Saccharomyces cerevisiae S288C: one gene and its partners. Changing the gene in region 1 together with any one later gene gives a genetic interaction. Each region holds a gene or a part of one and is shown in the gene's direction. Other genes may lie near its edges.

Region 1 (9,372 bases):
AACTATCATGGATTGATGTCGAAAACTGGCATAACTTGGGTGGTTCCGAAATCGGTACGAACAGATCTGTTGCTTCAGAAGATTTGGGTACCATTGCTTACTACTTCCAAAAGAACAAGCTAGACGGTTTGATTATTCTTGGTGGTTTTGAAGGTTTCAGGTCCTTGAAGCAATTGCGTGACGGTAGAACCCAACACCCAATCTTTAACATTCCAATGTGTTTGATTCCAGCCACTGTTTCTAACAACGTTCCAGGTACTGAATACTCACTTGGTGTTGATACCTGTTTGAACGCATTAGTCAATTACACTGATGACATCAAACAGAGTGCTTCTGCGACAAGAAGAAGAGTCTTCGTCTGTGAAGTCCAAGGTGGTCACTCTGGTTACATCGCTTCTTTCACTGGTTTAATCACTGGTGCTGTTTCAGTGTACACTCCAGAAAAGAAGATCGACTTAGCTTCTATCAGAGAAGATATAACTCTATTAAAAGAGAACTTTCGTCACGACAAAGGTGAAAACAGAAACGGTAAGCTATTGGTTAGAAACGAACAAGCTTCTAGCGTATATAGCACTCAATTGTTGGCTGACATCATCTCTGAAGCAAGCAAGGGTAAGTTTGGTGTTAGAACTGCTATCCCAGGCCATGTTCAACAAGGTGGTGTTCCATCTTCTAAAGACCGTGTCACCGCTTCCAGATTTGCTGTCAAATGTATCAAGTTTATCGAACAATGGAACAAGAAAAATGAAGCTTCTCCAAACACTGACGCTAAGGTTTTGAGATTCAAGTTCGATACTCACGGTGAAAAGGTACCAACTGTTGAGCACGAAGATGACTCTGCTGCTGTTATCTGTGTTAATGGTTCTCACGTTTCCTTCAAGCCAATTGCTAACCTTTGGGAAAACGAAACCAACGTTGAATTAAGAAAGGGTTTTGAAGTTCACTGGGCTGAATACAACAAGATTGGTGACATCCTGTCCGGTAGATTAAAGTTGAGAGCTGAGGTAGCCGCTTTAGCCGCTGAAAACAAATGAATGATTGCAATGAAAAGTTTAAGTTAAGCAAAAGGAGGTAAAAATGGCATGCACTTTAATTTTTATACAATCGTTTTTTTGTCATAAGACTTATTTATGTATCTGTTGTTTTTCTTTTTCTATCCTCTATTTTTGTCTATTTGTCTTTGTTTTACTCTTTTTCATTATTATTTCTTTATATAATTTTTGTACGATATGATACACATAACAATGAGCAATGAACATATTTCTAATCCTAACCATTAGATATACTTTTCAACTGAGGAATAATGGCGCCTTGATTAAACTAAGCTATGGAATTTGCATTATTCAAGTTTTAGGGTGTGCTTAATCTGCGTTGACAATGGTTCACGAAGACGACATCGGCAACTTTGCTGTACTACAAATTGCTCTGAATGTGAGGCTGATCCACATCATAGTGAGGCGCGCTACCTTAATTGTAGTCGTATTGTCATCGGTCTACGAATACCGTTTGGTTTATTTGTCGGCCTTTTTTCTTTCCGTTTCTTTTTATCTTTCCGCTGGAAAAATGGAAACTAGTGCCGATAATCGGAGATGGGATGACTAAATATTTCTTTAAGGCATTGGCAATGTTCAAACCTCTGATAGAACGGCAGATATATATTTAAGAGAATATAGTCAAGGTTGACGCCGCATACTTTGGTTTTGTTTCAAAAAGAAACAGGTGAAAAATTATAAAGACCAAACTAGAATACCATGCCCAGTGTCTGCCATACAAGCCCGATAGAAAAGATTATCCAACAAGGGCATCGCATACAGAATGATTCCTTAATACCGTCAAAACGCACCAAGCTGGCCCATACGGAATTAACAGCACACTATGCCACTGAAGACTCGCATGTGGAAAAACACTTTTTGCATAATGGTAGTAATTTTGACGGCATTGACAATGTAAGGTATCAAAATCAACCCTCTCCATTAACCTTCATTACTCCAAACAACACTGTAGATTCCAGTGATTGGGTTCCGCAGTTCTCGTCTATGAAGATTGACGATTCACTAGAGTTTAGCTCAGAATATAAAAGGTTGTATTCCAATTACGAGTCACAGCAGCGCCTGAATTCAAGCAGACAACACTTACCTTTTAAGAATTGTATGATAAGGAAGACAAGTTGCACTTACCCACCTCAAAAGACGCTTCGACAGCAACGCCAAGGAAACCGGGACAACCCAACGGATGCGTTTCAATTCGACGCGGAGTTCCAAGTTTTGGAGAGAGAAATTCAAAAAGAGCGGTACGAGCCCATAACACGTCGGGACGAGAAATGGTTCGACCAAGATCAGTCGGAACTGCAAAGGATTGCCACAGATATAGTAAAATGCTGTACTCCACCGCCTTCGTCTGCATCCTCCTCTTCTACTCTTTCCTCCTCTGTCGAATCAAAACTATCTGAGTCGAAGTTTATTCAGTTAATGAGAAACATTAGTAGCGGTGACGTGACTTTAAAGAAAAATGCAGATGGAAATTCCGCAAGCGAGTTATTCTCATCCAACAACGGGGAACTGGTCGGAAACAGGCACATTTTCGTCAAGGACGAAATTCACAAAGACATACTTGATTGATATAGGCAGTTTCTACAATTGTACCTCTTGTAACTACTACATACGTTGATATATGTTTACAGATAGCTAAGAATATCAAAATCATGAATATGTGCCCTTATGTGTTCTCTGCGCTGAGGAGTATCGCAGCTTCACTCCTGCAGATGCATGCCCTACCTACTGTCATGCCCATCTCTCTCGTTTAAAACTTACTACACCTTTTTTGTGCATGGATTGTGCTGATGTAAGCTGCACGAAATGACACGCTTGTGAATTTTTTCTTCTCTTGGGAGAAACTGTGAAGAAAAAAAAAAAAGCTTCGCAAAACCCGAATTAGTCTCGAAGGAAGTAATTACCTTGTGAAAGGGTCTTTTGGGATACTAATTTATTATGAAGTTTGGTTTTGGTGTTGCTTGCTCTTTTTTTTTTCAATTTTGAAATGCGTACACGTGAATTTTAGCATAGGTTGTAACAAAAAAAAAAAATGATTTGGATGAGGCAGGCAACCCCTTAAGTAGCTATGGTACCTTTCAAGCTGACAAATAAGGTACCTACGGACACGGGACCTTCTCTGATTTCAGCGCAAAGTGTACCCAGACCAATAGTTTTTATGGATAATCGAAACAATACGCGAATAGTAACACCTACGCTACCTCCAAACCAGCATAGAGGCATATCAGGCGCGTCGACTGCTCTTCCCTGGTCTCCAGAGAGTAAGAATACAGGGAAGTATATTTGGAATAGGGTCAAACTAAAAAACTCTCCGTTTCCCCGTTATCGACACTCTTCCTCATTTATTGTTACGAATGATAACAGGATTTTTGTGACCGGTGGACTTCACGATCAATCGGTATATGGGGATGTCTGGCAAATAGCCGCTAACGCGGATGGTACGAGCTTTACTTCCAAGAGAATCGATATTGATCAAAATACACCTCCCCCAAGAGTGGGACATGCCTCTACTATATGCGGTAATGCCTATGTTGTGTTTGGTGGCGACACACACAAGCTGAATAAGAACGGACTGTTGGATGATGATCTTTATCTTTTCAATATTAATTCTTATAAGTGGACCATACCACAACCTATCGGCCGTAGGCCGTTGGGCAGGTACGGCCATAAAATTTCTATAATTGCTAGCAACCCTATGCAAACTAAACTATATCTTTTTGGCGGACAAGTAGATGAAACTTATTTTAACGATCTGGTCGTCTTTGATTTATCATCATTCCGTAGGCCGAATTCTCATTGGGAATTTTTAGAGCCTGTCGGCGACCTGCCTCCTCCTTTAACAAATCATACAATGGTGGCATATGACAACAAATTATGGGTATTCGGCGGGGAAACTCCCAAGACAATAAGCAATGATACATACCGCTACGATCCAGCACAAAGTGAGTGGTCTAAAGTTAAAACCACAGGAGAAAAGCCTCCGCCAATACAAGAGCATGCTAGTGTGGTGTATAAACATTTAATGTGTGTGTTAGGCGGTAAGGATACCCATAACGCATATTCCAACGATGTCTATTTTTTAAACTTATTATCGCTAAAATGGTATAAGCTTCCCCGTATGAAGGAGGGCATACCTCAAGAACGCTCTGGACATTCTTTAACCTTAATGAAGAATGAGAAGCTTCTTATCATGGGTGGCGACAAAACTGACTATGCCAGCCCAAATATTCACGATCTACAAACTTCAGAAACTGACCAAGGCGAAGGAACTTTACTGTATACCTTAGATTTATCATCTTTGAATGAGCTATGCCCAGGAATAATGTGTGAATCACTACATGCAGGAGAAAGTTTTTCTAATAGTCTTTCCGGGGGCTTTACACCCTCTAAGTCTACCGAAAGTGAAAATCAAGAGATAATAAACATTCTTACACCAAGATTGCCTGATAGCAAAGTTTTGAGTTATAATGATATTGATGAAGGGGCTGGAAGTTACTCCAGCGCTTTGGATGATAAGGCATTTGAACGAAAATCAGATAGGGAGGAAAAGAAACCCCAATCTTCCAAAGTTGATTCAAGCATCAATAAGGAAAGTCCGGGAACTGGTATCAAAGTATCTAAAAAAAATTTCCCTGTTCTACGAGGACTAACAGTGGATTCAGAAGAGTATGGCTCTTCTTCATATAAGGACACATCATGTCAAAAAGGAATTCCCAAAAATCTTTTTGATGATTTAAACCTGAACCTACAAACATTACGTCTCGAAGCTCAACAAAAGGAACTTGAAACTGCTAGACATATTTCACAATTAGAAAAGGAAGTCCAGAGACTCATGGTAATAAAAGAAGCTTCAAAAGATTCAAATTTTCAAACAGCACGGCTTAAAAATCTAGAAATTCAGAAAACCTTTTTAGAATCTAGAATTAATGATTTAAAAAATTTATTGATGGTCAAATTATCTCAGGCAAGTAAACTCTGTGACCAAATTACGATTCAAAATAATGGACTTAAAACATGCTCCGAACATGTCACTATTAAAAGGGATATCATCGATCTTGAGAATAAATGTGATGTTTTGAAGCGCCAGAACGAAATACTTGTAAATAATATGCAAAAAATAACCCCCGAACTTCATACCTATTTGAACGAATCGTCCTGCTATCTGGGTAAATTATTAAAAAGCTATCCTACCAGTGCACGGCCACCTTCAAGTGAGAAAGATAATCAAATATATGAGAAAGATTCGCTGAACAAAATAGAAAAAGTAATAAATGAAATGCACGAAACCGTGCGTGCTAAAGAGAAATTGCACCTTGAAACTCAGAAGCTTAATGATGAAAGAGATTCTTTGCGGGCTAATTTACTCGACAATAACAACAAGTTGGATGCGCTAAGAAAACTCTCTGATGGAAGCTCGAAGTCTATGGACCTAACAAAGAAGGCTATTCACCTATCACAATCCGAGCTCGAAAAATATCGTAAAAACAACGACGATTTACAGAAGGAGATTGATAGAATTAAAACTGAACAAGCTGAACAGGATGACAAGCAGGAACAGCGTGGCGCCATCACTCATGGAAATTTTGATGCGTTCCACAGAATGAAAATCAACAATCTGAAAGCGGAACTGTATATGTCGAAAGAAAATAGAGATTCCCTCAAGGACGAACTGCTAGCTTTAAAAAAAAAACTATATACTCTCGAACAAAAAAAATAGTCATTGGAAGACGTTGTTACGCACTGGGAAGTCAATATGTACAAAGTATATAAAAATATATTTAAACACCTATAAGGACATTGTAAACATTAAGTATTAATAGAAGGAGAATATAATTGCCAACTAAGCCTTTTGAGGTTAATATTCAATGGTGCAAAATTAGTAGCCGCGGTTATTATTATTCGCCGGGTAAAGAGCCCGCTTTTCTAGGGGGATTTTAGGTGAGCATGCCTCTAGAAAGCCAGAAGGACCCTTAACGAAGCGAAACTGTTCAGAAGAATGAATAAAAAGACACATTGAAAAAAAGAATATTGTCGCACTGTACATAAGGGAGAAGCTGTAATCCCTGGCAAACTGCTAATATCTAATAAAAATAATAGAAGATGTCATCTGCAAAGACATTTACTAAGCATATCTCGTTTGATGATCTGGCACCTTCCTTAATTGATGACCAAGCTACCATTATTAAAAATGACAGTCACCATGTTGGCTTGAATAATCATTTTTTACATATACCTCCACAATTTAATCCTGTTTACAAAAATACTTTGACCGGTAGCCATGGCTCTAATGACCTTGCCACTGACGAAAGCTTGGACTCACCCGAAGACGAAGAAGCTTCTTCGCCACTACAACTAGGAACTCCAACGTCTACAACATCTGGAGTTCCTCACTTCTATACTCAGGTATTTTCTCCTGCAGCACATGATCCCTCCAAAAGCTATTTGAGATCGCCCAGCGTTGAAAGAAGTAGAAGTGAGTCTCCAATGTTCAGGTCAAGAAGAAGGACTTCAGTGAGGTTGCCTCCCCCTCCAAAAGTATCCGTGCTAAAAAAATCTCGAAAAGCTGCTGATGAACAGGGCCCTATTGATGATATTGATATTGGTGATTTGGATTTTGAGCTGGAAAGAAAAATGACCAAAATGACCGAAAGAAACACTCAAAAAAATTCTGGATCAAGGAAAGGCTATACGCAAGCTGCATTTGCCAATCTTAATGAAGTTGAAGATAGAATTGAGACCAAGTCAATGGTAGATTTATCCGAAAGCGAAAATATGGAGAGCTCAAAGAAAAGGTCCAAGTCGTTTGCCGGGATGACAGACGAAGAATTAGCCAAATTAGAGGAATTTTATATAAGTAAAGGAAGATCGAACAAGACTAAAATAGATCAATTTGATTTTGGTGAGCAAGTTCCAGTCTATTTGAACACAACAGAGTCAAAAACGGATTCAAGCAACGTGACGGACCCTTTAGCAGCAATTTATCCATCAAGGCCTACAATTGTTCACAATGCAATTTCAATGACAATTGATCATCCAGACTATGAAAATTATATTTCCAATACAAAAGAAAAGCTCAATTGCAAAGACAAAGATGACGATGTAGATTTAAGAGTTGTTTCGTGTTATATATCAGGTAGGAGATATACTTGGTCATCTGTGGACTGGTATGTTGAAAATTTGACAAGAAATGGTGATCATTTAGTCATAATTACTACAATTCCTGAGTTTGAAGCAAAGATTGATACTCTAGCATATAAGGAGAAAAGAAGGCACCGCTTAGAAAGGATGACTAGCAATACTAGTGAAAGCATGACTACCGCGTCACATAGCCTTATAGGCCCGGATCTCTCTAGTCCTTTATCAACGGGAATAAGAATAGAAGCTATTCATAATGAGGCTAAGCAAACTTGTAGCGATATTTTAAATTACTACGCGAGAAGATTGGCAACTAAAATAGTTAGGATTAGTATTGAGATGGTAAAAGAAAATTCAACAAGATCAGCCATAATATCTGCGACCTCTCTGTATAGGCCAAGTTTGCAAGTAATCAGCACCGTTAGTGCCAACATTCAAATCAAGTTTAGAAATGGAAAAGTGAAACTACCATTTTTTTTAATGAAACACTTTGCAATGCCAGCATTTGTTGTCCCATTCGAATTCATCAAGCCTGAGCTTTTAATAAAACCTAGAGTGGATAAAGATGAACAGGACAACAGCGATGATTTGAAAACGGAAGTGAGAAAAAAGGAACGATTGCAATGGCTAAGTGCATTAATCAGGAGAACTTTGGAAAACCCTTTCACAAAACATAAAGTGGTTGATTCGGATGATGAAGAAAGCGATAGTGATGAGTCAGTAACCTCTGTAAATGAGTACTTCCCAATCTCACCTGAAAAAAAGGAAGAAATGGAATTCTTCGATAAGATGGGATATGTTAGACCAAAACCGTCGAGACAAGTACTATTGGATGATAACACTCTTATGAAGTACGACAGTTCTGGCCGAAAGCTAACTCCTATAGAATCGAGAAATTCGAGGCGCAGCTCAAAGCGGAGTTCAAGAATACAATTCAACAATAACGGCATTTATAAAGTAAAGTCCATGGTTGATGACATTTACAACCACGAAACTGCCTCTACGCCTCATATCAAGACAGCACTAAAATGGGACAATGAGGATCCGAAAATGAAGTTCACTTCACATCCAATGAGAAAAACAAAATCCGCAGGGCTATCACCCAGAACATCCTCCACTTCATCTTCTTCAGGACAGAGAAAAGCGCATCACCACCACCATCACCACAACCACGTTTCAAGGACGAAAACTACCGAAAGCACCAAATCAGGCAACAGCAAAAAGGACAGTTCCTCATCCTCAACAAACGACCATCAATTTAAAAGGTCTGAAAAGAAGAAAAAAAGTAAATTTGGCTCGATCTTCAAAAAAGTTTTCGGATGAACCGGATTAATACAAGTAAAATCAGCAAAGATATAGAAGACAAAATAAGCGTGAAAACAATCATAAACCACTCACAACGGGGGTTTTCAGCTGTTACTCCTCCATACATACATTTTGATAAAGATATAATGTTATATTTCTTTTCGTAATTTTGTTTTACTTCGGTTTGCTCTATAGATTTCATCAGCCGCACCGAAAAGGGAGATCAATAAGGTACCCTTTAAAAGGGATAAGAAGCCTACATCACCCCAATAAATGGAGTAATGGCCAGCATTGGATGAAGAGAAGAATTACGGGATACTGGGATAACACTGTTAAAAATGCTTCGCGACGTGAGGGTCTTCTTCATATAAATTGAACTGCCAAATCTCTTTCACATTATCCAGGATAGTTTGGAATGTGTGTTACTGAAGGATCAGAATCAATAAATACAATCAATACAAATATTTAGCGCATAAAATTCAAACAAAGTTTACTGAAATGAAGTTAGATTCAGGAATATACTCAGAGGCACAAAGAGTTGTGAGAACTCCAAAGTTTAGATATATTATGTTAGGGCTGGTGGGCGCTGCTGTGGTACCGACCGCATACATGAGGAGAGGCTATACGGTTCCTGCACATAGCTTAGACAACATCAACGGCGTAGACACAACTAAGGCGTCTGTTATGGGTACAGAACAGAGAGCAGCTATGACGAAGGGTAAGAGTTTACAAGAGATGATGGATGATGATGAAGTAACGTATTTGATGTTCTCTTCAATCATGTAAGGGAATTTGTACTTGGTTCCCTGCATTTATGTTCTTTGCATTTTGTTTTCGCATTTAATCATAGTACGACAAACGGGGAAGGGGATTGTGATTTTAC
Region 2 (7,652 bases), on another chromosome or scaffold:
TCATTGAACATGATGTTCCAGAACACTTCTTCGGTGAATTGGCCAAGGGTATCAAGGACAAGAAGACCGCTGCTAACGCCATGCAAGCTGTTGCTCACATTGCTAACCAATCTAACTTGTCTCCATCTGTTGAACCATACATCGTCCAATTGGTTCCAGCTATCTGTACCAACGCAGGTAACAAGGACAAAGAAATTCAATCTGTTGCTTCCGAAACTTTGATTTCCATCGTTAACGCTGTTAACCCAGTTGCCATCAAAGCTTTGTTGCCACATTTGACTAACGCTATTGTCGAAACTAACAAATGGCAAGAAAAGATTGCTATTTTGGCAGCTATCTCTGCTATGGTCGATGCTGCTAAGGATCAAGTTGCCCTAAGAATGCCAGAATTGATTCCAGTCTTGTCTGAAACCATGTGGGACACCAAGAAGGAAGTCAAGGCTGCTGCTACTGCCGCCATGACCAAGGCTACCGAAACTGTTGACAACAAGGATATTGAACGTTTCATTCCAAGTTTGATTCAATGTATTGCTGACCCAACTGAAGTTCCAGAAACCGTTCATTTGTTAGGTGCTACTACTTTCGTTGCTGAAGTTACTCCAGCTACTTTGTCCATCATGGTCCCATTGTTGTCCAGAGGTTTGAACGAAAGAGAAACCGGTATCAAGCGTAAGTCTGCTGTTATTATTGACAACATGTGTAAGTTGGTCGAAGACCCACAAGTTATTGCTCCTTTCTTGGGTAAATTGTTGCCAGGTTTGAAGAGTAACTTTGCTACCATTGCTGACCCAGAAGCCAGAGAAGTTACTTTGAGAGCTTTGAAGACTTTGAGAAGAGTTGGTAACGTTGGTGAAGACGATGCTATTCCAGAAGTTTCTCACGCTGGTGACGTTTCTACTACTTTGCAAGTCGTTAACGAATTGTTGAAGGACGAAACCGTTGCTCCAAGATTTAAGATTGTCGTCGAGTACATTGCCGCCATTGGTGCTGATTTGATCGATGAAAGAATCATTGACCAACAAGCTTGGTTCACCCACATCACCCCATACATGACTATCTTCTTGCACGAAAAGAAGGCCAAGGACATCTTGGACGAATTCAGAAAGAGAGCTGTCGACAACATTCCAGTTGGTCCAAACTTCGACGACGAAGAAGACGAAGGTGAAGACTTATGTAACTGTGAATTCTCTTTGGCTTATGGTGCTAAAATCTTGTTGAACAAGACCCAATTAAGATTGAAGAGAGCCAGAAGATATGGTATCTGTGGTCCAAACGGTTGTGGTAAGTCCACTTTAATGAGAGCTATTGCCAACGGTCAAGTTGATGGTTTCCCAACCCAAGAAGAATGTAGAACCGTCTACGTCGAACACGACATTGATGGTACTCACTCTGACACTTCCGTCTTGGATTTCGTTTTCGAATCTGGTGTTGGTACTAAAGAAGCTATCAAGGACAAATTGATTGAATTCGGTTTCACCGATGAAATGATTGCTATGCCAATCTCTGCTTTGTCTGGTGGTTGGAAGATGAAGTTGGCTCTAGCTAGAGCTGTGTTGAGAAATGCTGATATCTTGTTGTTAGATGAACCAACTAACCATTTGGATACCGTCAACGTTGCTTGGTTAGTTAACTACTTGAACACCTGTGGTATCACTTCTATCACTATTTCTCACGACTCCGTTTTCTTAGATAACGTCTGTGAATATATTATTAACTACGAAGGTTTGAAGTTGAGAAAGTACAAGGGTAACTTTACCGAATTCGTTAAGAAGTGTCCAGCTGCTAAGGCTTACGAAGAATTATCCAACACTGATTTGGAATTCAAGTTCCCAGAACCAGGTTACTTGGAAGGTGTTAAGACTAAGCAAAAGGCTATTGTCAAGGTTACCAACATGGAATTCCAATATCCAGGTACCTCTAAGCCACAAATCACTGACATTAACTTCCAATGTTCTTTGTCTTCCAGAATTGCTGTCATTGGTCCAAATGGTGCTGGTAAGTCTACTTTGATTAACGTCTTGACTGGTGAACTATTACCAACCTCTGGTGAAGTCTACACCCACGAAAATTGTCGTATCGCTTACATTAAGCAACACGCTTTTGCTCATATCGAATCTCATTTGGACAAGACTCCATCTGAATATATCCAATGGAGATTCCAAACCGGTGAAGATAGAGAAACCATGGACAGAGCTAACAGACAAATCAACGAAAACGATGCTGAAGCTATGAACAAGATCTTCAAGATTGAAGGTACCCCTAGAAGAATTGCCGGTATCCACTCCAGAAGAAAGTTCAAGAACACTTACGAATATGAATGTTCTTTCTTATTGGGTGAAAACATTGGTATGAAATCTGAAAGATGGGTTCCAATGATGTCCGTCGACAACGCTTGGATTCCAAGAGGTGAATTGGTTGAATCTCACTCTAAGATGGTTGCTGAAGTTGATATGAAGGAAGCTTTGGCTTCTGGTCAATTCCGTCCATTAACCAGAAAAGAAATTGAAGAACATTGTTCCATGTTGGGTTTGGACCCAGAAATTGTTTCTCACTCCAGAATTAGAGGTTTGTCTGGTGGTCAAAAGGTTAAGTTGGTCTTAGCTGCCGGTACATGGCAAAGACCTCACTTGATTGTCTTAGATGAACCTACCAACTATCTGGACAGAGATTCTTTGGGTGCTTTGTCTAAGGCTTTGAAGGAATTTGAAGGTGGTGTTATTATCATTACTCACTCTGCTGAATTCACAAAGAACTTGACTGAAGAAGTCTGGGCCGTCAAGGACGGTAGAATGACTCCATCTGGTCACAACTGGGTTAGTGGTCAAGGTGCTGGTCCAAGAATCGAAAAGAAGGAAGACGAAGAAGATAAATTCGATGCTATGGGTAACAAGATTGCCGGTGGTAAGAAGAAGAAGAAGTTGTCTTCTGCGGAATTGAGAAAGAAGAAGAAGGAAAGAATGAAGAAGAAGAAGGAATTGGGTGATGCTTACGTTTCTTCTGACGAAGAATTCTAATCTTTTTGATCACTGCTTTCACAGTTTTCTTTAAGATTTTTATTGATCAATAATTTATGTATATTTTAATTTCTATGTTTTTGTAATATTGTTTATTTTGGTAAAATATAGACGCAACTTCCTTATTATAAAGAAAGGCATTATTTAAAAGAAAAAGCGTTCCATTAGTCAGACATCTTTTTTTTTCATACATTCTTAAGCTCAGGCAAATTGAGCATTGCCTCATACCCTTTTCGGTAAGAGGGTAACGAAAATATTTTTTTGGAAGAATAAAAATAGGTGACGGATCATAGACTAGGAAGCTTTAAAACATGATTGAGCGTAATATTATATTCCTTCTAGAAAAGATAAAAGAGCCAAGACCTAAAATTTTTTCATCCCTGTTCTATTAAAATTGTGGAAATGAGGTTTTTGAGGGGATTTGTATTTTCTTTGGCTTTCACTCTATATAAAGTAACTGCCACGGCAGAAATAGGATCTGAAATTAATGTGGAAAATGAGGCACCACCTGATGGTTTATCCTGGGAGGAGTGGCATATGGACCATGAGCATCAGCTAAAAGATTACACTCCAGAGACTTTCTTCGCGTTACATGATATCAAGAAGAAAGGATTTTTAGATGAAAACGATATTCTATCTCTCTACGGGTTGAACCGTGAAGAAATTGTGGGGGCTGGTGATGGTATGGGACAACACGATGAATCTGAGAAAATTGACAATGAAATGGCTAAGCGTGTTGTTAGCCTTATTATGAGGTTATTGGATGTTGATGATAATACCAAAATCACCAAGGAGGAATATCTACAATTTGCTAAGAGAGGAAACAAGTTCCCTGACCTTGGCGTTGGTGTAGGTCACCACTCCGATTTTGAGCTAGAATATGAAATTCATCACTGGAATAAGTTTCATAAGGACAAAGATCCAGACGTTAAAGTCGTTCACAAAGAAGACATAGAACATGAATTGCTTCATCATGAACATGAAATTGAACATGAAGAAGAAATTCAAAGAGGCGCTTCTAGAGCTACTGTAATAACTGATGACGAACTAGAGTCTAGAATAGAGCTGAAAAATATTCCCGAGAAATTCAAAAATGGAATTTTTTAATGGACTTGGTCAAGATGAATAGTTGAGACTGAGAAAATATTCAAGACACTATGTATGTAGTCAATTAGCATGTAGTAAGTAATCAAAGCACTTAAAATATATTTTTACCATCGCATCGTTGTGATGCCTCTCCTTTGTGATTAACTATCTACTTTAAACGTTCTATTTTCTATGTTCTAATTACGTATGTATTGGTCTTTTCTCTCCGATGGTAACAAGAAGCGTTTCGGGAAACAGTGGCACCTCCTTGTCCCTTAAATGTCGAACTTTAACAGTATAAGTACAAAGTGAAAAAAAAAAAAAAATGGAAATATCTATGATAGTGATATGATAGAAGAGCTATTTGAATGCTATGTTGTCATATTTAGCCTTACAAAAGGGAAAAGGCAAACACAGTCTTTTGTTATTACTATAGGAAAGATAGAATTGATATTAAAACAGTATGAAGTTATTGCATTTATATGAAGCGAGCTTGAAGAGAAGGCCCAAAACTACGAATGCGATAATGACAGGTGCGCTATTTGGAATTGGTGATGTTTCTGCTCAATTGTTGTTTCCAACATCCAAAGTAAACAAGGGTTATGATTATAAAAGGACAGCTAGGGCTGTCATCTATGGTTCTTTAATTTTCTCCTTTATAGGTGACAAGTGGTACAAGATCTTGAACAACAAGATTTATATGCGTAACAGACCTCAGTACCACTGGTCTAATATGGTTTTACGGGTAGCTGTCGATCAATTGGCGTTTGCGCCGCTAGGTTTGCCATTTTATTTCACCTGTATGTCCATCATGGAAGGTAGATCATTTGACGTAGCTAAGTTGAAAATAAAAGAGCAATGGTGGCCTACACTTTTGACTAATTGGGCAGTTTGGCCACTTTTCCAAGCGATTAACTTTTCTGTTGTTCCTTTACAACATAGGTTACTAGCTGTTAATGTCGTTGCAATATTTTGGAACACTTACTTATCTTATAAAAACTCAAAGGTTATGGAGAAAGACAAGGTACCTGTTCATTATCCACCCGTGGTCGAATAACTGGATAAGAAATCCTGATTTTGAAAATATTTGGAATTCAACTAGCATATTTATCAGACCTTGTTCCTTGGGGTACTGGAACAGCATATACCTAATAGACTTTCGGCAGAGAGCAGACCAACTTCATAAATATTTGAGTCACCAAAGTTGGCTAGCAATCTGCTTTTCCTTTACAGATGTGCTTGGTCAGGAACAATTTATTTAATTACATTCGTACTTCTTTTATAGAGGAAATAGTAGCTAACATTTCACTATTGCGGTCATGCCTGTTGTTCTTCAGCTACCGTTTATGCAAAGGTGTTTAATTAGGTGTGAGACTTAAGTGGGCCTTTTAGTACCACTGTGGGTTCTGGACCTTTATATAATATTTCATTTTTTCAAAGGTTTTTTCATATGCCGTTAAAAGAGGTCAAAACATAGACCCGAGGAACATATCTTGTAAATCGCTGCGTTATGTATGCATATTGTACTCCTACCTTCGTAACTGGAAAGAATCAGTCTGAAAGTTTATTGAGCCTGAAACGGAGCAAGATTATAGTTGAATGTTTCTTATTCGGTGTTGATAGTAGATGATGACCAAAGCTTTTTTTAACAAACTACCGTTTGAGGTATTCCGTCGGTACGTTAGGACAGGTAAAAGCATCCCTCAAAGAAGCCCCAGGACAAGAAAATCTCTTCTGGTGGGTGGGACTATTGCATCAGCAGTAGTTTTGTACAACTTTAATGACACTTTTCATGATTCTGTAAAGCACACGGCACTGACGACTAAAAGAATCGCTGTCGTCACACAAGCTACCACTCGTTGCTTCTACCATTACAAGAGGGCTCTAAATAAAAGCTATGAGAACAAAAAAGAACGAGAAGTTGCCTTAAATAAATGTCATAAGATGTGTGCCTTAATCACGTTGCATGCGCTACGATCGAATGGTGGGATATATATCAAATTAGGCCAGCACATTGGGGCCATGACCTACCTGTTGCCTAAAGAATGGACGGATACAATGATACCGTTGCAAGACCACTGTCCCGAATCCACCTACGAAGAAATTGATGAGTTATTTAAAGAAGATCTAGGCACCAGCATTGAGGATATGTTTTTAGAATTCAACAAAACCCCGATAGGTGTAGCTTCCTTGGCACAGGTTCATGTGGCAAAACTAAAAAATAGTGACGGTAAAGGTTCTAGTGTAGCTGTCAAATGTCAGCATCCATCGTTGAAGGAGTTTATACCATTAGATGTTATGCTGACAAGAACAGTGTTTGAACTGCTGGATGTCTTCTTCCCTGATTATCCGTTAACGTGGCTTGGTGATGAGCTTCAGTCTTCAATCTACGTGGAACTGAATTTTACCAAAGAAGCTGAAAATGCAGAAAAAACCCGTCATTATTTTAGTAAGTTCAAGAAGCAAACAGCATTGAAAATACCCAAGGTCATTGAAAGCCACAAAAGAATTTTGATTATGGAATATGTTGGAGGCAAAAGGTTGGATGATTTGGAGTACATTGACAGTCACGGTATCTCGCGCAGTGAAGTTTCGAGTTGTCTCTCTCATATTTTCAATAACATGATTTTTACTCCCAATGTAGGTATTCATTGTGATCCTCATGGAGGAAATCTGGCCATACGATCTGTTAAGCCCGCTAAAGATAATGGATACCATAACTTTGAAATTGTTTTATTTGACCACGGACTCTATAGATATCCTAGCACGAGAACAAGAAGACTTTATGCCAAATTTTGGTTGTCGCTCCTATTCGACAAGGACCAGACAAAAATGAAGAAGTATGCCAAAGGATTCGCAAACATCACCGACGAACAGTTTCCCCTTTTAGCGGCTGCAATTACGGGCCGTAGCATTGATGCTGCTTTGAATTACGACATTTCAACGAGTCGAACACAAGAAGAAATGGACGTCATGGCAAATGGGATCTTGGAAGGAACGTTACTGAGCGACTTGATGAGCATTTTGTCTAGAATCCCTCGTGTAGTGCTTTTGATATTGAAGACTAACGACCTAACCAGACATCTTGATGAATGTCTACAGAATCCACTCGGGCCAGAGAGGACTTTCCTGATCATGACGCAATACTGCGCCAAGACGGTCTACGACGAAAAAGTGGAAAGAATTAATTCGGAGTATGCGAGGTGGTCTATTAAATGGATGTGGGAGAACTTGACAAACTGGATAGTCTATGAGAGGCGTATTAATCAATTGTATTTTTATGATTTTGTGTTGTGGTGGAAAAAATTTATTCCGAAGACTTGGTTGTCATCTTAAATCGTTAGCGTTCTTTCTACTTGTAAATATATACGTAAAATTATATATAACAATTTTATATGTGTCATTAAACGGAAGACGTTGTTGCTATCACAGTGGATTGTGTTATTTGGGTATTTGGAATATTACAGTGACTTCTTGCAGCGTTGTTAGTTTTTGCCATGTTCTGCAAGTACAAGGTTGAAGATGTGGTCGAGACTTTGATAGTATCCTTAA
Region 3 (4,403 bases), on another chromosome or scaffold:
GCTTGTGATAGTCTAAATAATGTCAGATATAGTTAATATTTGTACGTATGAATGCCTTTTTGAATTGCGGTACCTTAAGTTATGTTTCGTTTGCGGAAGCAAGCTGGTATCATGCTGGATGTATTTTTTATCAGAGTCGATATTTCAAACCATTAAGCCTGTTTTTTATGTCCTTCAATTGCTTTGTCTCAGGCTCCCATTCCTCAAATTCCTTAAACAACATCTTGATTTCTTCATTACTGAAATGCTTGTTGGACTCGTACATCAATCCCCTCATACACCATGGCAGACGATAGGGGTTGGCTCCTAACTCAGACAATTTATATGGTGAGTACTCAATTGGATACATTTCGGACAAATCGGTTGTTTCTAATGCAAATTTGATGCCCAGATGGTAGACCTGTTTCTCATTATAAATGGTAGAGTGACCACCTCCTGTCAGGGTGCCCGCCAGAGATCCGCTTATTTCCTTTATGATTCCGTGATCGTTATAACCCAGGTTTAAGAGTGAACCAGCAATTTTAACTATGCGAGTGATAAATGCTGGAGTTTGTGATCCTCTATCAATAAAAATGGCCCGAAATATATTGGGATGGTTGGCAAAAAGACATGTGGATGAATACAGAGGGACCAGTTGATCATTGATGGATCCCACAAATGTAATCTTAACGTTATTTGATATGATTGTTCTTAGGCCTTCTATGAAGCTTTGCGATTGTTTGGAATCAAACTTTTGAAACTCGAATAACTCCCTCAATGAGTCTTTTTCAATCGTCTGGTAAGCACGAACAAACAAAGTTTGATCTGCACCGTAGAATGGACCATTATTGATACCTGCCATGGCCAAGACCGAGATAATTTTTTTGGACGAACAAAACTGAATTTCATCGTTGAAAAATTGAGAATTATCAAGGTTTATTATGCCGTTTTTGATCAGCTTCGCTAAAAGCATAATGGTTACCGGACACCCCTGCGAATGGCTAACAAAATAAATAAAATCAGAATTGTTTATTTCTTTGCTCCAATGCTTCATAACTTCGTAGAAGAAATCTACTCTATCAAATATCTCTCCTTCTCTTTCAAGAGCGATCTTGCTTATTTCAATGGGTACTTTATGTTGATCAAAATATTCCTTCACTATTTCCTCAGCTTCTGTGACAAACTTGGTAGATGTACCCGTTGGCTCACCAATAAACGGTCTAATAATTTTTGTTGGAAAGAACCCATGAACGCCGACAATGAGAACTCTGATGGGCCTAGATTGGTAATCTGATAGAAGGTTTATTTTTTTCCATGGATCAACCCTAAATAGAGATCCTCTGTTGTGTTCCAACCGCTCCTCATCTTTTGCCTCGTTTGCAACTGTGTTTGTTTCCTCTTTTAACTGATTTTGTGAGTGCTGCACCTGTTCTTCCCCCTCTCGTACCCTTGATGAAGGTCTTCTATCCCAGTATTCAGTCTTCCACTTCCAAATTGTGGATGTGACTGTATTCCATATGGTTTGTTTCGGTAAAATATCGAAACTTGGTACAACAATGTTAGGAAACTGATTGCCTATGTCATCTGTTAATTTCTTAGCAGTTTTGACACCTTTATCTCTGATCAATATAGCATCAGGTTTATAAGGTATGTAAGTGTTGGTTAGAGGAGCCGGATTTAGACTATTTGCTAAACGTGATAAAGTGTTATTATCCGCATCAGTGGGAATGTTATGCGTCGGCTCCGGATCTTTTTTGTTACGGCCCCAAAAGAATGGCCATGCTCGTGGTCTTGTGTTTTTTTCTACTATAGCTGCATTTCTGTCTTTTTTGTCCTTCTCACCCTTCTCGATCCTGGTGGTTTCCTTTAAAATCGTTGTTTGTTGATTATCGTGCAAGCGTGTTCCCTCATTTGAAACATTGTCATTTTCTTGACTGTTGTCTTGGGCGGTTTCCTTTCCTTTATTTTTATTAGATAACTCCGGTTCTTCCTCGTCATTACCTCCCCATATAGACCAGGATTTGGTTGTTCTGTGCTTAGGCTCACTAGGCCCCATACGACCAGACTGAGTATGTACTGAGCGCAGTGAGGTCGTTGAAGATTTCAGACTGCTTTTCGGCGAGGAATGCAATGGAGTCGTGACCATTCTACCTACTGGTACTCTGTATATAAGTCTCTTCCAATTCTTCGTAATGGTGTCTATTTGTAGTGCAAAAGTGCTATCCAAGAGCAGTGATAAGCCCACTATATGTATAAAGCCGAATCTAGTGACTGGTGGGAATAAAAAAGATAGTTTTCGAACTATTCTTATATGAACTTTCCATGGAATTACCTCACGTTGTTCACATTAGTGACTTGTAAAAAGCTTTACATATAAACTCAATATTTTCCCTATTGTCAAAACCTGGAATGTGTCCGCAACGCGTAATTCATCCATAATGATATATATTATCAGAAGCTGTACACAAGCCGTTCACATACATGTGGTGCATGAGAAGATTGCCAACAAATTCAGTTATGACGGTGGCTCGAAAGAGAAAGCAAACTACGATCGAAGACTTCTTTGGTACAAAGAAAAGCACTAATGAGGCGCCCAATAAGAAAGGTAAATCGGGCGCTACTTTCATGACCATAACAAATGGCGCAGCTATCAAGACAGAGACAAAGGCGGTCGCAAAGGAGGCAAACACGGACAAATATCCTGCTAATTCAAATGCAAAAGATGTATATTCGAAGAACTTGAGCAGCAATTTACGTACACTACTGTCGCTGGAGCTAGAAACGATTGATGATTCGTGGTTTCCACATTTAATGGATGAATTTAAAAAGCCATATTTTGTAAAGTTGAAACAGTTTGTCACTAAAGAGCAAGCTGATCATACAGTATTTCCGCCTGCAAAGGATATTTACTCATGGACCAGGCTAACGCCTTTTAATAAAGTTAAAGTCGTGATTATCGGTCAAGATCCCTACCACAACTTTAATCAGGCGCATGGCTTGGCTTTTAGCGTCAAACCCCCTACACCAGCACCACCGTCATTAAAGAACATATATAAGGAACTGAAGCAAGAGTATCCTGATTTTGTTGAAGATAATAAAGTGGGAGATTTAACTCACTGGGCTTCACAAGGGGTTTTATTGCTTAATACCTCGTTAACTGTAAGAGCACATAATGCAAACTCGCATTCTAAGCATGGTTGGGAAACTTTTACAAAAAGGGTAGTTCAGTTGTTGATCCAGGACAGAGAGGCCGACGGTAAGAGTTTAGTATTCCTCTTATGGGGGAACAATGCTATCAAATTAGTAGAGTCTCTGTTGGGATCTACTTCCGTTGGAAGCGGTAGTAAGTACCCTAATATCATGGTGATGAAGTCAGTGCATCCGTCTCCATTAAGTGCAAGTAGAGGATTTTTTGGTACCAACCATTTCAAAATGATAAACGATTGGCTATACAATACCCGCGGAGAGAAAATGATAGACTGGAGTGTTGTTCCTGGAACGTCATTAAGAGAAGTTCAGGAGGCAAATGCTCGCTTAGAGTCAGAATCAAAGGACCCTTGAATATTACTATTGCATATGCAGGTCTCGATTTCCAAACTCTTTAAAAGCATATAATAGATAAAAAACTAAATAGACTACTTTGTGGCACAAAGCAGAAAAGTGGATTGAATATTTTTCAATCTAAAAAGTAAATATTATACAACCAAATTGAGAGAGTAAGGAGAAGTAAGAAAAATAAATTGCTTGAAACCGGCAGAAAGGAAGCTTGAATATGGGTCAGGACGTGAAACATATCATTTTTTCAACGCTTCCTTTTGAGCGTTCAGTAAAGTGAACACTGGAGCATTCAACTTACTCCTGCCTTTCAAGAAATCCAACTCCATAACAAAGTTATATTCCAAAAGGTTGGCTTCGAGTTGTTCAACTAATTCGCCGGCTGCAGCAGCAGAACCACCAGTGGCAATAATGTCATCAACAATGATAACGTTGGAACCTGCTGGAATAGCGTTTTTCTGTATCTCAAAAAGATCAGAACCGTACTCCTTTTCGTACGTAGCCTTAAAACATTCGCCAGGTAGCTTACCTGCCTTCCTGACTGGAACGAAACCAACACCTAGGGCCAAAGCTAAAGTTGGTCCGAACAAGAACCCACGGGATTCCAACCCGACGATATAATCAATTTTAACTTCTGGAAAAGCTTCTTCTAAATGCAGTTTGAAAGCATCGATCAACTTCTGGAAAAGACCTGGGTTCCTGAAAATGGGTAAGAAATCTTCGAAGAGAATGCCTTCACTAGGGAAGTTTGGATATTGATGTAAAGCCAACTTCAACTCTTGGGCATAACTTGCTATAGACATGATTAGTAGGAATATTTGCGATAGATTTCTTTGAAGCAGGCAAAATGCGTGAAAATAGATTTTATG
Region 4 (8,077 bases), on another chromosome or scaffold:
CGTTAAGGTGACACATGGTTATAATGTGCAGCGATACAATCAGTTACGTAAAAATTTTGGATTTTATAGAGCATATTCTTCACTAAGAGGTTGTAAGAGCGTTTTCAGACGTATATAGAATAGTTTTTTACTTACCTTTCATAATGTATTATCACCCTTTTACATAATACAAGTTTTAGAAGCAGATATTTTTATTTTTTTCATTTCCATTGTTCAAAAAGAGGGATGGTAAAGTATGCTAAAAGGCATACAAAACAATTAAAGGGAAACAGGTACAGCGAAGTCTTATGGGATTCATAATGTTGTTAAGATCTAGATTTTTGAAGGTTATTCATGTGAGGAAACAATTGAGCGCCTGTTCAAGATTTGCAATTCAAACACAAACGAGATGTAAGAGCACAGATGCTTCTGAAGATGAAGTGAAGCATTTCCAGGAGCTAGCCCCTACTTGGTGGGATACAGACGGATCACAAAGAATTCTACACAAAATGAATCTAACTAGGTTAGATTTTGTGCAGAGGACTGTGAGGAACCAGGTTAAAATTCAGAATCCTGAAATATTTGTCCCTGGATTTAATTACAAGGAGTTTCTACCAGAATACGTCTGCGACAATATTCAGCGGGAAATGCAGGAAAGCATAGAGACTAATCTAGATAAGAGGCCAGAAGTGAGCGTCTTGGATGTTGGATGCGGTGGTGGCATTTTGAGTGAATCGCTCGCGAGACTAAAATGGGTGAAGAATGTTCAAGGGATCGATCTGACTCGCGATTGTATCATGGTAGCAAAAGAGCATGCCAAGAAAGACCCCATGCTGGAGGGAAAGATAAATTATGAGTGCAAGGCTCTGGAGGATGTTACTGGACAATTTGATATTATCACCTGTATGGAAATGCTAGAGCACGTGGATATGCCTAGTGAAATTTTAAGGCATTGTTGGTCGAGGTTAAATCCCGAAAAAGGTATACTCTTTTTAAGTACTATAAACAGAGATCTCATCTCATGGTTTACTACAATTTTTATGGGTGAAAACGTCTTGAAGATCGTCCCAAAGGGTACTCATCATTTGAGCAAATACATAAACTCAAAGGAAATCCTTGCCTGGTTCAATGACAACTACAGTGGCCAATTTCGCTTGTTGGATCTCAAGGGGACCATGTACCTCCCATATCAAGGGTGGGTTGAGCACGATTGTTCCGATGTCGGTAATTATTTTATGGCTATTCAGAGACTGAATTGAAATCAAACGAAAAGTAGGTATCTGACTGTAAATATCTTCTTATATAAATATATATATATACACTTTTTCACGTACAGCATGAGTTCAAAAAGCAATGGCATGGTCCTGCGTTTATTAAATGATGTATCCTTTTCAAGACGCCAGTAATTTATTCAATACAGTATCTCTTTTCCGCTTATAATGGAAAAGAGAGAAAAAAGATCAAAACGTTGAAAAATTTTTTTTAGTCATTGAGGTATCAGAAATAAAACTCAATAACAAAAAATAGTCGTAGAACAACGATGAGCAACGACGAAACTGTAGAGAAAGTCACCCAACAAGTGTCGGAACTAAAAAGCACAGATGTTAAAGAGCAAGTAGTTACACCTTGGGATGTGGAAGGTGGGGTTGATGAACAAGGTAGAGCCCAAAATATTGATTACGACAAATTGATCAAACAATTCGGTACTAAGCCGGTCAACGAAGAAACCCTGAAGAGATTCAAGCAAGTGACGGGTCGTGAACCACATCATTTTTTGCGTAAGGGATTGTTTTTCAGTGAGCGTGACTTCACTAAAATATTAGACCTTTACGAACAAGGCAAACCATTTTTCCTATACACTGGTAGAGGTCCTTCGAGCGATTCTATGCACTTGGGTCATATGATCCCTTTTGTCTTCACCAAATGGTTACAGGAAGTGTTTGACGTACCATTAGTCATAGAGTTGACAGATGACGAAAAATTTTTATTCAAACACAAGTTGACCATCAATGACGTTAAGAATTTTGCCCGTGAAAATGCCAAGGATATCATTGCTGTTGGCTTTGATCCAAAGAACACCTTTATCTTTTCTGATTTGCAATACATGGGTGGTGCATTTTACGAAACTGTAGTAAGAGTTTCCAGACAAATTACAGGATCCACTGCAAAGGCTGTTTTCGGGTTTAATGACTCCGACTGTATTGGTAAGTTCCATTTTGCCTCCATTCAAATTGCTACCGCATTCCCAAGCTCATTTCCTAATGTGTTAGGCTTGCCTGATAAGACACCATGTTTGATTCCATGTGCAATTGACCAAGATCCATATTTCAGAGTTTGTAGGGATGTCGCGGATAAATTGAAGTACTCCAAACCTGCTTTGCTTCATTCCAGATTCTTTCCAGCTTTGCAAGGTTCCACGACCAAAATGTCAGCCTCTGATGATACCACTGCCATTTTCATGACCGATACACCAAAGCAAATTCAAAAGAAAATTAACAAGTACGCATTCAGCGGTGGTCAAGTGTCCGCCGACCTACATAGAGAATTAGGTGGTAATCCCGATGTCGATGTTGCATACCAATACTTGTCATTTTTCAAGGATGACGATGTTTTCTTGAAGGAATGCTATGACAAATATAAGTCCGGTGAATTACTATCAGGTGAAATGAAGAAACTGTGTATCGAGACTCTGCAAGAATTCGTTAAGGCGTTCCAGGAACGCAGAGCTCAGGTGGACGAAGAGACCTTGGACAAATTCATGGTCCCACATAAGTTGGTTTGGGGCGAAAAGGAAAGACTTGTCGCACCTAAGCCAAAAACTAAGCAAGAAAAGAAGTAAGTAGTCACGCTTATTCTGACGCTATTATATACAATGATATAGAATCCGAAATTGTAGTTTAACACTAAAAAAATAATGCAATAGAACAATAGTGTTGCGATGTCTCCTGACCTCACTATTTCTATAGATTGGTATGAAAAATTTTTTTTTCAAATATATGGGAAAAATTTTTCACGGCATATAAAAGACTACCATCTTTCTGCATCAGTGTGCCAGACCCATTCTCACACCAAGAAGCGAGGAAGCTAACAGGCCAGTACTTGCAGGTTAGGTTTTCGTGCTCAGATGAGCAGATCATGGACTGCATTGTGCTGTTGTTGCACAGTAAATTTTGTATACCATACTTTATGATGATATTCTTTACGAACTTTTAGACGTTAGACTTCTGAAGGAGATTAGACCCTCCTATGGAAGAGAAACTCGTTAAACTTATCTGAGTAGGTATGTGTATATGCGTCTCTTGTATTATACAAATGTTCTTATTTCTTGTCCTGCATTTTTCCGAGTATTGGTAAATTCATGTAAATTTTTCATCCCATAGATCGTAATTTTGAAGTAGTGGCAAAAGATTTTAACAGAGCGTAAGATATAGTGAGAGAAACTACTCGCTGAAAAGTTGAAAGTGACCCAAAAAACGGCACGAAGACCAATTATACGCACTTTCAACACAGTTCGTCGAATCTTCACAATGGGGTTCAAGAAGCTCGTATCATTCCAACCGGATTATGTCCCACAATACCATATAACTAAATATATCTCGGAACGAACTAAACTGCAACTGGTACATATAAACCACAAAACCTCCCCATTGGTTCACGGTTACTTTGCTGTTCCTACAGAATGTCTTAATGATTCAGGTGCTCCGCATACCTTGGAGCATTTGATCTTCATGGGTTCTAAATCTTACCCATACAAAGGTTTATTAGACACAGCTGGTAATCTGTCTTTGTCTAACACCAATGCTTGGACTGATACCGACCAAACTGTTTATACATTAAGCAGTGCTGGCTGGAAGGGATTCTCAAAGTTGCTACCTGCTTATCTAGATCACATCCTACATCCAACTTTAACAGACGAGGCTTGTTTAACTGAGGTTTATCACATCGACCCGGAAAATTTGGGTGATAAAGGTGTGGTATTTAGTGAAATGGAAGCCATTGAAACTCAGGGCTGGTACATTTCAGGGTTAGAAAAGCAGCGATTAATGTTTCCTGAAGGAAGTGGCTATCGGTCAGAAACTGGTGGGCTAACGAAAAATTTAAGAACCTTAACCAACGACGAAATCAGACAATTTCACAAATCTCTGTATTCTTCTGATAATCTTTGTGTCATTGTTTGTGGTAACGTACCAACAGATGAACTGTTAACCGTCATGGAAGAATGGGATAACAAATTGCCGGAGATTCCATCGAATATACCAAAGAAAAGACCATTTTTGGACAACAAGCTTTCGCACATACCGCAATCTAGAGATAAAGTTACGGAATCTACTGTAGAATTTCCTGAACTTGATGAAAGTCAGGGTGAATTACTCTTTTCTTGGATTGGTGTTCCCTACTCAGATTTTCGTAATGACCTAGCGGTTGATGTGCTATTAGATTACTTTACTGACTCTGCATTGGCAGTGTTTACAAGAGAACTGGTTGAAATTGACGATCCCATGGCAAATTCCACTGATTGTTGCACTGATTATTTCATGAGAACCATAATTGATCTTCGTATCCAAGGTGTCCCAACAGAAAAAATAGCAGCAACAAAGACCAAGGTACTGGAGATTTTGAAAACCCATACCATTGATTTATCAAGAGTTAGACAGGTAGTTGAAAATACTAAATGGGAATATTTGCTGAACTATGAAAAAAATGGCGAGAGTCGTTTTTCTAGTGCTGTGATTACCGACTATATTTATGGTAATGAAGATGGTTCTTCATTAGTGTCTTCTCTCAAGGATTTAAGTGATTTTGATGCTTTATTACAATGGTCCCAAAAGGACTGGCAATCTTTGCTGAACAGAATATTCGTAGACAACAAACCTATCATAGTTACCGCTAAACCAAGCGCTTTGATGTATGAACAACTAGAGAAAGAAAAATCGGATTTGATCAAACAAAGAGAAGCTGAATTTGATGATGAAAAGAAACTGGTTTTATTGAAAAGATTGAACAATGCAAAAAATATTAATGATAGGCCAATTCCGAAATCTCTACTACAGAAATTTGAGATTGATAATCCTTCAAAGAGTGTTGAATTTGTCAACACGAAAAGCATTGCAACTGTCGATTCGTATAAATACAATAATGTTAGTGATCCGCTGACCAAAAAAATTTTAGAAACGAGGCCAGACAATTTTCCTCTTTTCATTCACTTAAATCATTTCCCGTCTCAATTTATAGAGCTGCATTTTTTGGTCAACTCCGCATCTATTAAGGATACCTCGCTTTTACCATATTTTAATATGTTTGACGAGCTATTTTCCATGCCAATGAAAATCCTTGATGAGGAGAGTAATGTAGAAACTATGCTCTCGTTTGAGGAAGTTGTCGCCAAGTTAAAATCAGAAACTATTGACGCACAGATCAACCAAGGTTTGAAGGGTTCTTGTCCTGACCTTATTAATTTTAAAATTCAATGTAGAGCTGGGGGTTACTCTAACTCTGTTCAATGGATCAAGCACTGCCTATTTGACATGGTTTTTGATGAAAATCGTGTTCGTATTCTGCTGGAGAATTATTTGAATTCTATTGTAGAATGGAAAAGAAATGGTAATGTTATGTTAAGTTCTTTAACTAACAGAAATCTCTATTCGGCAAGATCGCTGAAAAAATCCACCGATCCATTATTTGTTGAAGCAAAATTACAAGAGATTTTTGCAGAAATTGAGAATGGCAACTTTGAGAAAGAAATTTTGCCAAGAATAGAAACAATGAGAAAGCAACTGAGAGCAAATTTCAACAAGTTTCATATTTTGGTTCTTGGTGACATCTCAAAGATCGATGACGTTTATGAACCATGGAATCCCTTAATTAAGTGCTTGAACATTGCACATCCAGTTGAGAAGTTAAAAATTCCACCAGTTCCAAGAGCCCTAGATACCATTTCATCGATTTGCAGAACACCTGGTGAAAAGGCCTTTATAATAACTACTCCCGCCTCAGAATCTGCTTATATGAATCTAATAACGTCTATCCCATTTAACTTGGACTACCATGATCCCGAATACGCTATTGTCTCATTGGCTTCCGAATATCTAGAATGTGTTGAAGGTCCATTTTGGAAGGGAATCCGTGGTGCCGGATTGGCCTATGGTGCCAGCATGTTAAAATTATGTGAGATAAATTCTTGGGGATTCAATATTTACCGCGGCGCTGATATTATTAAATGTTATGAAGTTGGAAAACAGATTGTTCAAGATTATGCATCAGGTGCCTTGGAATTTGATGAGCAGTTAATCCAAGGTGCCATCAGTAGTATTATTAACAGGCTGGCTACTATCGAATGCGGATACTTTGAAACAGCCCTGTCCAAATATGTTGATGAATTCTGTTTGCAAAGGGGGAACAACTTCAATGAATTGTATTTGGAAAGGTTGCAGAATGTTACCAAAACAGATCTGAAAAATGCCATGCAGAAATATTTTGTCAACATGTTTGATTCCAATAAAAGCGTTGCCTTTGTGAGCTGTCATCCAGCTAAATTGGAATCAGTTCAAGAATTCTTTGAAACTCAAGGTTTCACTGTCGAAATAGAAGAGCTAGAAGATGACGATGACGAAATTGATAGTGAAGAAGACGAAAATGCGTGAGTACATGACCTCCATTTCAGCTTCACTTTCAACACAGAAACAGTGCGTATTATCTGCATTCAATAAATAGCAAAAGGAGCATTGTCTCATTCTTTTCGAATTCTGGGATTCTGCCTTACGGCGCTCTTTCATTTGATTGATCGAGAATTATTATTATATTTATATGAGTACTTGAAATTCCTCATATATTTATTTTTAGAGTATTTAAGTAGCTTGATGAAAACATTAGATAAAATTACTAATTACGACCTCTTCGATTTTGCAGATGAGTTTTTGAAATTTGTTCCTGTGTTTAGACCTAATCCCACGGTAACTTGTCTTTTTGGCAATCCGTTAACTAATTTACTGGTTAACGGTACTGGAGCAGCGTGTTTTTTTGAATTTTGTTCCTTGGCATTGATAAAGGTTTCAAAAATTCTGCTTGATCTGTTGCTCTTAGCGCTATTAATCGATTCAGAAAACGAATTGTGCTTTGAAATTGATGGAGATTGGCTATGCGTCCTGGGTTTTGGCGAAGGAGACTTGGAAGTTGGAAGATCTTTAGGTATGGCTCTTCCGGATGATGATGTTCTTCTTTCAATTACCTTTTGGTTTCTTTGCAACAGTTCTTTCTCTATTTTATTTGTATTCGAATTAAGAATTTTTTTGAGAACAGTAAACAATTTGCTCGTGGTTTTTTTATCAGTGCTCAAAAGAAATGACTTGTAAGGTGTCTGAATCACAACTATATGATTAGTTCCCATTTCCAAGGGAATGATTAGTTCTTTTATTTTGGTACCCTGTTGACGCAAATTTATGTCATATTCTAGTTCATACTTTAAATTTGTAACTGGATTTGGCTGCCTCCTCTTGGCAAATACTAGAAACCTTCCAAATGATGTCATTACAATGGTTCGTTTATAGTACTTGGTTTTTTCATCAGAGGAAGAGAGCGTTTCAGCTGCTGAGGTAGGGTGAAATAATTTTTTAATCTTGCCAGAAAAAACAGAGCTTCCTTTATTGTTAGATTCGGATTTATCATCGTCTTTCATTGGTGAGCTGTTTTGATTGCATTTGTACCCTTCTCCGCTTCTGTTAGTAAGCAACTCCGATAAGTCACCTCCTTCAATTCGATAATCATCTTCCAAGAGCTGCAAATCGATAATATTTTTCGAATAGTACGTATCTTCTGTTTTGGAATAAGCAGTCATAGTTGGATCATTTCGAAAACCTGTAACCTCTCCCCCACTCCTAGCTACTTGGGATAAAAAAGTATGTCTAGGCTTACCAAACAGTTGAGGATCTAACAATGAACCATTTAGTTTAAGCATTTTCTTCTCTAAGATATCGTAATTTGTGGTAACAAAATCCAGTTTTTCCGTCCTTAGTACATGTTCGTTGATGTTTTTCAGGTAAAAGGACCATTGAATATCTTGCTTGTTCATCAAGGGAGAATCTGTGCTATTTTTAACATTTTG

What was found.
Region 2: mutations in YGR237C (region 1) and SYM1 together harm fitness less than expected from each alone (positive genetic interaction), as found in Saccharomyces cerevisiae (one large-scale study listed by BioGRID).
Region 3: mutations in YGR237C (region 1) and UNG1 together harm fitness less than expected from each alone (positive genetic interaction), as found in Saccharomyces cerevisiae (one large-scale study listed by BioGRID).
Region 4: mutations in YGR237C (region 1) and WRS1 together harm fitness more than expected from each alone (negative genetic interaction), as found in Saccharomyces cerevisiae (one large-scale study listed by BioGRID).

Annotation. Positions count from the first base shown.
Region 1 is NC_001139.9:962,433-971,804, reverse strand, and holds YGR237C (uncharacterized protein), read left to right. Parts: upstream 1-6,149; coding exon 6,150-8,507; downstream 8,508-9,372. Other genes in the region: PFK1 (6-phosphofructokinase subunit alpha), read left to right, coding at 1-1,034; PEX21 (Pex21p), read left to right, coding at 1,752-2,618; KEL2 (Kel2p), read left to right, coding at 3,118-5,766; SPG1 (Spg1p), read left to right, coding at 8,988-9,275.
Region 2 is NC_001144.5:636,901-644,552, forward strand, and holds SYM1 (ethanol metabolism protein), read left to right. Parts: upstream 1-4,563; coding exon 4,564-5,157; downstream 5,158-7,652. Other genes in the region: YEF3 (translation elongation factor EF-3), read left to right, coding at 1-3,014; nucleobindin SSP120, read left to right, coding at 3,417-4,121; CQD2 (Cqd2p), read left to right, coding at 5,727-7,436; NDL1 (Ndl1p), read right to left, coding at 7,504-7,652. UniProt on the Saccharomyces cerevisiae protein: May be involved in cellular response to stress. Required to maintain mitochondrial DNA (mtDNA) integrity and stability. Required for ethanol metabolism and tolerance during heat shock.
Region 3 is NC_001145.3:228,871-233,273, reverse strand, and holds UNG1 (uracil-DNA glycosylase), read left to right. Parts: upstream 1-2,460; coding exon 2,461-3,540; downstream 3,541-4,403. Other genes in the region: YML020W (uncharacterized protein), read right to left, coding at 131-2,125; adenine phosphoribosyltransferase APT1, read right to left, coding at 3,774-4,337. UniProt on the Saccharomyces cerevisiae protein: Excises uracil residues from the DNA which can arise as a result of misincorporation of dUMP residues by DNA polymerase or due to deamination of cytosine. Not involved in strand-directed mismatch repair.
Region 4 is NC_001147.6:131,268-139,344, reverse strand, and holds WRS1 (tryptophan--tRNA ligase WRS1), read left to right. Parts: upstream 1-1,519; coding exon 1,520-2,818; downstream 2,819-8,077. Other genes in the region: HMI1 (ATP-dependent 3'-5' DNA helicase), read left to right, coding at 1-118; COQ3 (hexaprenyldihydroxybenzoate methyltransferase), read left to right, coding at 300-1,238; YOL097W-A (uncharacterized protein), read right to left, coding at 2,940-3,125; SDD3 (Sdd3p), read left to right, coding at 3,507-6,620; serine/threonine protein kinase PKH2, read right to left, coding at 6,863-8,077.